2 linked regions of the Oryctolagus cuniculus genome follow. The protein of the gene in region 2 binds, or shares a complex with, the protein of the main gene of each other region. Links are inferred from orthologs where the notes say so. Each region holds a gene or a part of one and is shown on either strand. Other genes may lie near its edges.

What was found.
Region 1: the proteins of GRK1 (region 2) and RCVRN are in contact, whole or in part, in an NMR structure (PDB 2I94), measured with the Bos taurus proteins. The link is inferred for Oryctolagus cuniculus from reciprocal best matches to the Homo sapiens genes GRK1 and RCVRN. Residues at the interface, in NP_776598.1 of Bos taurus: Phe3, Gly4, Leu6, Glu7, Val9, Val10, Ala11, Asn12, Ser13, Ala14, Phe15, Ile16; in NP_776590.1 of Bos taurus: Lys22, Trp31, Ser34, Phe35, Glu38, Cys39, Phe49, Ile52, Tyr53, Lys55, Phe56, Phe57, Tyr86, Leu90, Thr93, Ser94, Phe188, Glu189.

What each region holds. Positions count from the first base shown.
Region 1 is NC_091448.1:54,159,909-54,164,174, forward strand, and holds the start of RCVRN (recoverin), read right to left. Parts: upstream 3,078-4,266; 5' UTR 2,986-3,077; coding exon 2,605-2,985; intron 1-2,604. UniProt on the Homo sapiens protein: Acts as a calcium sensor and regulates phototransduction of cone and rod photoreceptor cells. Modulates light sensitivity of cone photoreceptor in dark and dim conditions.
Region 2 is NC_091440.1:431,720-435,523, forward strand, and holds part of GRK1 (rhodopsin kinase GRK1), read right to left. Parts: intron 2,075-3,804; coding exon 1,950-2,074; intron 925-1,949; coding exon 723-924; intron 1-722. UniProt on the Homo sapiens protein: Retina-specific kinase involved in the signal turnoff via phosphorylation of rhodopsin (RHO), the G protein- coupled receptor that initiates the phototransduction cascade.

The sequences.
Region 1 (4,266 bases), on a different chromosome or scaffold from region 2:
ACCTATGAAGGTAGCCTGGGGGCCTTGGAAGGTCAACAGCTTCGAGAAAGGCCCCACTCTGCTTCTTGGTGCTAGCACAAGGGGAACCAGGAAGTCAACCGCAGCAGCTCACAGCAGCCCCTGAGGTGGATGGAAGTGCAGGTGCCTCTCGGAACTCCTTTGGCTGTCCTGAGCCCTGGGCAGCCGGAGCAGATGGGACGGGTGAGTGCAGAGGGTGATCCACTGCCTGCCCCCTCTAACTCCCAACACACAGGGGACAGAGCTTCAGGGCCTTGGGAGAGTCCACAGAATTCATCAAGTCCTCGCTCCAGCCCCAGGGGGGCTACAAGGCTTCCTGCTGGTGACACAGGAGCTTGGTGTCCAAGCCGGCACTAGAACCCATTACTTCTGGCTCCCAGGCCAGTGCTCCGCCCATGACCTTGTGGTCTGGTGCACCTGGCACAGCTTCAGCCGCTGACACCTTCTCTCCCTCTCCCTCCCTCCCTCCCTTCCTTTTATTCCCTCCTTCCCCTCAACTCCCCTTCCTCCTCCTTTCTTTAAGGAACCCCAACTTTCAGCCTCTGCTGGCTTCCACAGCATCATTTAAGCGGCTCTGAAGTCTTGGTCCCATCCCCAGCCACCCAGACACCCCCACTGACAGGTGAAGGCAGCTGGCTCTGTAGACTAAGCCCAGCTGACAAGGGCTGCCCTTAGCAGGAGGCCCAAGCCCAGCACTGAGGAAGACCACAGGCTGCCGGATTTTGATTTTATTTCCAGTTCCTCCTAATATGGGTGAGAGATGTCTACAGATGACAGTGTGATTACAAATGCACACGCAAAAAATTCCTAAAATATGAAACACATCCCTCTTTCTAACAGGAATGGAATTGGGAAAATAAAGCAAGTGCCAGGGGCAGGAGGATTAAAAAGAATCAGGGAAGATATACTTTTAGAAGATGGAACTATTACTGATAGAACAGGGGAAAAAAATCAAAGCATCCTGATGTCCAAAAATATAGGCGTGTTTAACCTTGAGGCATTTCCATCAGATGGAATTCTAGGCAGCTACTGAGAATGCTTTCTGGGGGTGGGTATTTGGTTAAGGAGCTGATTGGGACACCTGCGCCCTATATTGGAGTGCCTGGGTTCGAGTCCCAGCTCTGCTCCCAATTCCAGCTTCCTGCTAATGCACACCCTGGGAGGCAGCAGTAGCTGGGGCCCTACCGCTCATGTTGGAGATGTGGACTGAGTTCCCAGCTGCCAGCTCAGCCAAGCTCCAGTTGTTTTGGGTATTTGAGGAGTGAATCAGCAGATAAAAGCGCTCTCTCTCTCTCTGCATCTCTCCCTTCATCTCTCTTGAGTAAATAAGTAAATAAATAAAGATCTGTCCTTTAAAAAAAAAGAGATTTATTCTCCGCCTGTGGCGTCAGCATTCCATATGGGCGCTGGGTTCTAGTCCCAGTTGCTCCTCTTCCAGTCCAGCTCTCTGCTGTGGCCTGGGAAGGCAGCGGAGGATGGCCCAAGTCCTTGGGCCCCTGCACCCACGTGGGAGACCTGGAAGAAGCATCTGGCTCCTGACTTTGGATCAGCGCAGCGCACCAGCCGTAGCAGCCATTTAGGGGGTGAACGAACAGAAGGAAGATCTTTCTCTCTGTCTCTCTCACACACACTATCTAACTCTATCTGTCAAATAATAATAATAAAATTTATTTATTTATTTATTTATTTTGAAAGAGTTACAGAGAAGGAGGGAGAGACAGAGACAGAGGTCTTCCATCTGCTGGTTTACTCCCCAGATGGCCAAAATGGCCAGGATTGAGCCAGGCTGAAGTCAGGAGCCAGGAGCTTCATCCAGGTCTCCCATATGGGTATCAGGGACCCAAACACTTGGGCCACCTTCTGCTGCTTTTCCCAGGCCATTAGCAGGGAGCTAGATGAGAAGTGGAGCAGCCAGGACACGCACTGGTGCTTATATGGGATGCATCAGCCTTACCAGCTACACCACAAAACTGGCCCCCATAAAAATCCTTTGAAGAATATGTAAACACTCATGATAAAGGAGTAACTGAAAAGCTGTGATAAAAATCATACGTGAATATAACTTTAAAACTATTCAAAACTATAGAGATAAAATGCCAGAAAGTTACATGCCAGTGTACTAAGGGTAGTTTTCTCTGTATGCTGGAGTTAAAGGACATTATGATTTCTGTGTCATCCGTCTCTAAATTTCACAAATGATTTAGATATCAGATACAAACTCTTTTCAAGACACTTAAAATATCCACAACAAACGCTTGGAGGATAGGACAAGACAAAGGAAAAGACAGATAGGAAGCAGCCGGAGGCAGGTGCCCGGGCAGAGCCTAAAGCTGAGAGAGAGAGGAAGAGAGAGAGAAAGAGAGAGAAAGGAGAGAGAGAGAGAAAGGGTACACATCAGAATTACCCAGATTCTGATTCAGGAAGAAGATGTAGCAGGGGACAGCGCCCAGCCCCACCCCCTACATGTGCGTGCTGGAGCCCCCTCCCTACCCTGCTCTCCTAGCCTTGGGCCTGCGCCCCTCCCTTCACCCCCAGGGCTATAGCCCAGCTGGCTACAGCCACGGGCAGGGCGAGGGCTGCACTCACCATGACGATCTCCAACACTTCGTTCTTGCTGATGGCGCCGTTGCCGTCCACGTCGTACAGGGAGAAGGCCCACTCCAGCTTCTGGCTGGGCTTTCCCGCCGTGGTCATGTGCAGGGCGATCACGTACTCCTTGAAGTCCAGCGTGCCATCGCTGTTGGCGTCAAAGCTGCGGAACACGTGCTGGGCATAGGCCTTGGGGTCGGCATCGGGGAAGAACTTGGCGTAGATGCTCTCAAACTCCTGCCGGGTGATGCGGCCGCTGGGGCACTCCTTCAGGAAGGATTGGTACCAGGTGCACAGCTCTTCCTCCGTGAACTTGGTGTTCAGCTGCAGGTCCTCCAGGATCTCCTTGGACAGCGCCCCGCTCTTGCTGTTCCCCATGGGTGAGGCTGGGTGGGCGCCGGGCGGGCTGTGCGTGGTCTCCCGGCTGCCGGGGCTTGGCGCTGTGTGAGAAGGAGACGGAGACGCTGAAGGATTAGGGGGATTTGCGAACAGTTCATCCCACTCTTTGCAGGGGGGAGGGTCTGGCAGGCTGGTCGTGGGGAGGGGGAGGGTCTCCAAGAACTGTTGGGATTAAAATAGGGGATCCGTTCATTTTGGCTTCCTGGAGGGTAGACAGGAAGAAGGTGGGAACCGTGGGAGACGACTCCAGATTTCTCTGCGTGGATGATGTGGCCTGCTTGTCTTCTGCACTGACTCCGGGATCTTAGGGGCCGCGGTGGGTCCTCATGTTGAGCCCCATATGCAGTGGTTAGGGGCACAGGCTCTGGGGCCAGCACGTTTCCTTCTGGGATGCCCTTCTCCGAATGCTTCGCTTCAGTCTTGGCTGAGATGGCACCTTGTCTGAAGGGCCTGGACTGACTGCTCTGTGTAAGTAGCACATCCGCCCCTAAGCTCGCAGCGTGCCCCAGACGGCGCCCACACCAGAATGCCAGCCTCGTGGAAGGGGCGGGCGTTCGGCCTAGAGGTGAAGACGCTGCTTGAGATGCCCAGGTCCCTTACGGGAGTGCCCAGGTTCAAGTGCTAGTTCTGGCTTCTGACGCCAGCTTCCTGCTCATGTGCACCCCGAGAGGCAGCAGGCGATGGCTCACATAGTTGGGTCTCTGCCACCCACATGGGAGACCTGGATTGAGTTCCCAGCTCCCGGCTTCAGCCACACCCAATCCTGGCTGTTGTGGGTGTTTGGGCAGTGAACTGGCAGATGGGAGCTCTCTTAATAAAAGGGAGTGTGGGGGGGGTTGCATCTCCATTGCTAGAATGCCAGGAAGGCTTTTGTCGGCAATAAATATTTGTTTAAAGATTTTCTATTTATTTGAAAGACAGAGTTAGAGAGAGGTAGAGACAGAGAGAGAGGTCTTCCATCCGTAGGTTTGCTCCCCAGATGGCCACAACAGCCGGAGCTGTACTGATCTGAAGCCAGGAGCCAGGGACTTCTTCCAGGTCTCCCATGTGAGCGCAGGGGCCCAAGGACTTGGGCCATCTTCTACTGATATCCCAGGCCATTGCAGAGAGCTGGATCGGAAGTTGTGCAGCTGAGACTAGAACTGGTGTCCATATGGGATGCCAGCGCTTCAGGCCAGGGCTTTAGCCTGGGGTGCCATAGCGCCGGCCCCTGCAATAAATATTTCTCTAATGAATGGGCATTTAAAATTTTTTTAATTT
Region 2 (3,804 bases):
GGGGCACTGGGACTGTGGGCAGGAGAGTGGCTGCGGTGGCCCCCAGGGCTCTGCCAACATCTTCACCACAGGCAGGGTGGCTCCCAAGGGTCCCTGGCCCAGGTCTGGCGTGTGTGACAGTACCACAGCTCCTGGGGTCCTGGCCAAAGCTTGGAGCGTGTGACAGTACCACAGCTCCCAGGGTCCTGGGCCAGGTCTGGGGTGTGTGACAGTACCACAGTTCCCGGGGCCCTGGGCCAGGCCTGGGGCGTGTGACAGTACCACAGATCCGGGGTCCCAGCCCAGGCCTGGGGTATGTGACAGTACCACAGCTCCCGGGGTCTTGGGCCAGGTCTGGGGCATGTGACAGTACCACAGCTCTCGGGGTCCCGGCCCAAGCCTGGGGTATGTGACAGCACCACAGCTCCCGGGGTCCTGGGCCAGGTCTGGGGCGTGTGACACTACCACAGCTCTCGAAGTCTCCAGCCCAAGCCTGGGGTATGTGACAGTACCACAGCTCCCAGGGTCCCAGCCCAAGCCTGGGGTGTGTGACAGTACCACAGCTCCCGGGGTCCTGGGCCAGGTCTGGGGCATGTGACAGTACCACAGCTCTTGAAGTCTCCAGCCCAGGTCTGGGGCATGTGGTGGTGCCACCGCCCCTGGGGTCCTGGCCCAGGAGTCTGGGGCGTGTGACAGGACCACAGCTCCCGGGGTCCCGGCCCAGGCCTGGGCATTAACCGTACCAGCCTCGAGCTGCCTCCAGTTGATGTCTTTGAAGAGGGGCTGGGTGCGGAGCCGGTCGCAGGAGCCGTCGCTGAAGCCCAGGCGCTTCTCGGGGTCCTTCTCCAGCAGTGCCTCGCAGAAGTCCTTGCTGGCTGCGCTGAACTTCTCGGGGTACGAGACGGGCTCCGACAGGATGCGCTGCTTGAGCTCTTTGTTCTCCACCTGCGCGGCAGACACGGGCTGTCAGACCCCGCAGCCCCGGCCTCAGAGGCGCACGTCTGTCCAGTGGGCTCCAGTGCGCACCACTCACAGCCACAAGCCCCACCGGGGCGTGCCGTGTGCAGCAGCAACGGCACCTGGGGAGTCCAGGCTGTGCACACCCCTCCACCCAAGAGCCCCCCCCTTCCCTGTGCTCGGTGCCCGTCCAGGACAGCACGGCTGTCAGAGTCCAGCGAGCGTGCCAGCTCCTGGAAGATCGGAACGCACTTCGCTCCGACAGCTGCGTGGGGGGAGCAGGGTGGGGCCTCAGGGGCTGGGACCCCCACCTCAGGGAGGAAGAGACTGGTGGGCAGGACCGCCAGGCAGAGGCCCCAGCGGCTCAGCCTTTCCAAAGGCCCTGCTGGTTGTCAGCGTCTGCTCCGGAAGAAGCCAGCGCTGCCTTGTTTGCCTGGAACGTAACACTGGTTTCCCCCCAACCCCCAGTGTACTCTTGTGGTTCTGGGCTCCCCGGGCCAGGGCTGGGGCAACATGGAGACCCAGGTGGACAGAACAGAAAGGGCACAAAGCGGGCATAACAGGGCAGGTGCAGCCCACTGGACATCCACCTCCCTCCAGGACGCACAGAGCAGCCGCTGGGGAGCCATGAGGCTCCACCTGGGGACATGGATCTGACGGTAGCCAGGCTGTGGGTTGGCCCAGGAATCTCCTGTCCCGACCCTGCTGGGCACCTGCAGCCACAACAGCTGAGTCACCGAGTCCCCTCAGGCTGCCCAGAACCCACAGCAGGAAGCCAAGAGACAGCCCCTTCTCTGCAGGTGTAGCTCCTGCCACAGCTGGCCTTGGGCAGGAGGGTGTGAGGCTTGGGCAACCCCACAGCAGACCTCAGGACCCCAGACCCGCTGCCTCTCCCACAGACGTGGGGGAGTCACCATGGAGGCAGGAACCACCTCCAGCATGTGCCCCTCACCCCCAGGCCTGGAAGCAGCAGTGCCGGGGCGGCCACCCACAGCCACACCGCAGTCCCCTACCTTCTCTCCTCGCGCCCGGAAGGGTCCTCTGGCGGCAATCATCTCGTACAGTGTCACCCCCAAGGCGAAGTAGTCCACGGAGAAGTCGTACTCCTCACTGCGCAGCAGCTCGGGGGCCATGAACCCTGCGCGCACAGAGTGAGCTCAGGGCAGCCGCTGAGCTGCCCTCACCCAGCGCTCACTGCAGCCCCGATGCCAGGAGCCCTGTGCTGCTGACACGTGGGGCCAGGGCACACTCGGGGTCCGCCCTGTGCACTCTCCCTGTCCAGCACTGCTCCCCGCTGCAAGGATCAAAAACGCCTCCAGACGCGGCCAGTGTCCCATGGTGAAGGAGCCCACTCCACACGAGGGCCTGCACCTGCTCTGCCCCACCCCTCACACCCAGGGCAGTGGGGACAGCACACAGCACAACAGCAGGTGTGGGGCTGGGGCAGGCAGGCGCAGGACGGGCACCGAGAGCCACCTCTGACCCCACTCTTCCAGGAAGGACACAGGACAGCTCAAAGTCCAGACATCCCAAGGGCTGACTGACGTCCAGAACCAGGTCCTGCATGCTTACCTGGAGCCCCTGCCCCTGACTGACCTGCACCAGCTTATCAGTGCCTGCAGTGCCCCGACACCTGCACCTGCACAGCCACAGGGCCCACGGCTGACACCTGTGCCTGCCAGTGCACACAGGTTGACCTCATATGGTCCCCAGAGCACTAAGGATCCAGTGCTGTCACTCAGCTGGGTGACAGAGATGCAGGCGATGGCCAGGGACCCACCCAGGCCCCACACTGCCCTTTGGCTTGGCAGGCGAATGCACTACTCATCCACCTGATTGCTTTTTTTTTTTAAACATCCTTGTTTGTACCAAAGTCGCTCCTGCACATAGAGGCCACCTCAGTGGGCATGGCCGTTTTTCAAAGCTGAGTGTTGTCCCAAGCCTTCTCCTCGGCCTCTCTCCCAACCCGACGTTGGGGCCCATGTGACCTGCACCTGTGTGTCTCCCCTGGCTCCTCGCCAATGTGGCTCTGGGGGTTGGAGCTGTGCCCCCAGCACCTGCAGACACTGGTCTCCCCTGAGACAGACATTCAGCCCAGTCACATTTCCAATGTGTTTTCTGGTTTTCCCAGGTGATGTGCTGTTTCCGTTTGCTTCGTTTTCTGGGTATTTGTCATCATTTCAACCCTAAATGCTATAACAGACAATTCTCTGATCCATTCAGTATTTCATCAGTCTCACCCACATGAGAAAGTCTTCCAGAACCTTCTTTCCCGCTCCAGTCTGGACCCAGGTGTGTGGCAGGAGCCTGAACCTCTGCAACTTTCTGGCCTTGTCCCAGGTACAGCCCCTCTGCGGTTGCTCCCTGAGTCTTGTCCAGCAGTTCCCTGAGGAAGACAGCTGAGCACTGTTTCCAAGAACTTCACACCTGGAAATGCCTTTATTTTAGACTAACGTCTAGCAGCTGGTTTGGCTGGGTATAAAATCTGGGTTGTGACTCATCTCTCCGCTCCCTTGCCTCCTTCCTGCAACATTGCCGGAGGAGATCAAGGCCACTCCGGCCCCTGCACCTCCTGGAGGCTGGTGGCTCCCCTTTGTCACTGCTCACATCAGCACTCCATGGGGTCCATGTCCACCATGTGCAGGGTGTTTCCACGTGGAAACTCAGGCTGCTCCCTCTGGGAATTCTCTGGAAATACGCCAGGGGCCTCTCCCCTCTCCACAGGTCTTCTTTCTCCGCAGGACGACTGCTATCCAAGCACTGGACTTTCTGGGTGGGTCTGACATCCATGTGCTTTGTCCTGTTTTCCACCAGTCGACTTTCTGGGTGAAACCCAACCCTCTCTCAGACCACACTGTGTCTCTCTCC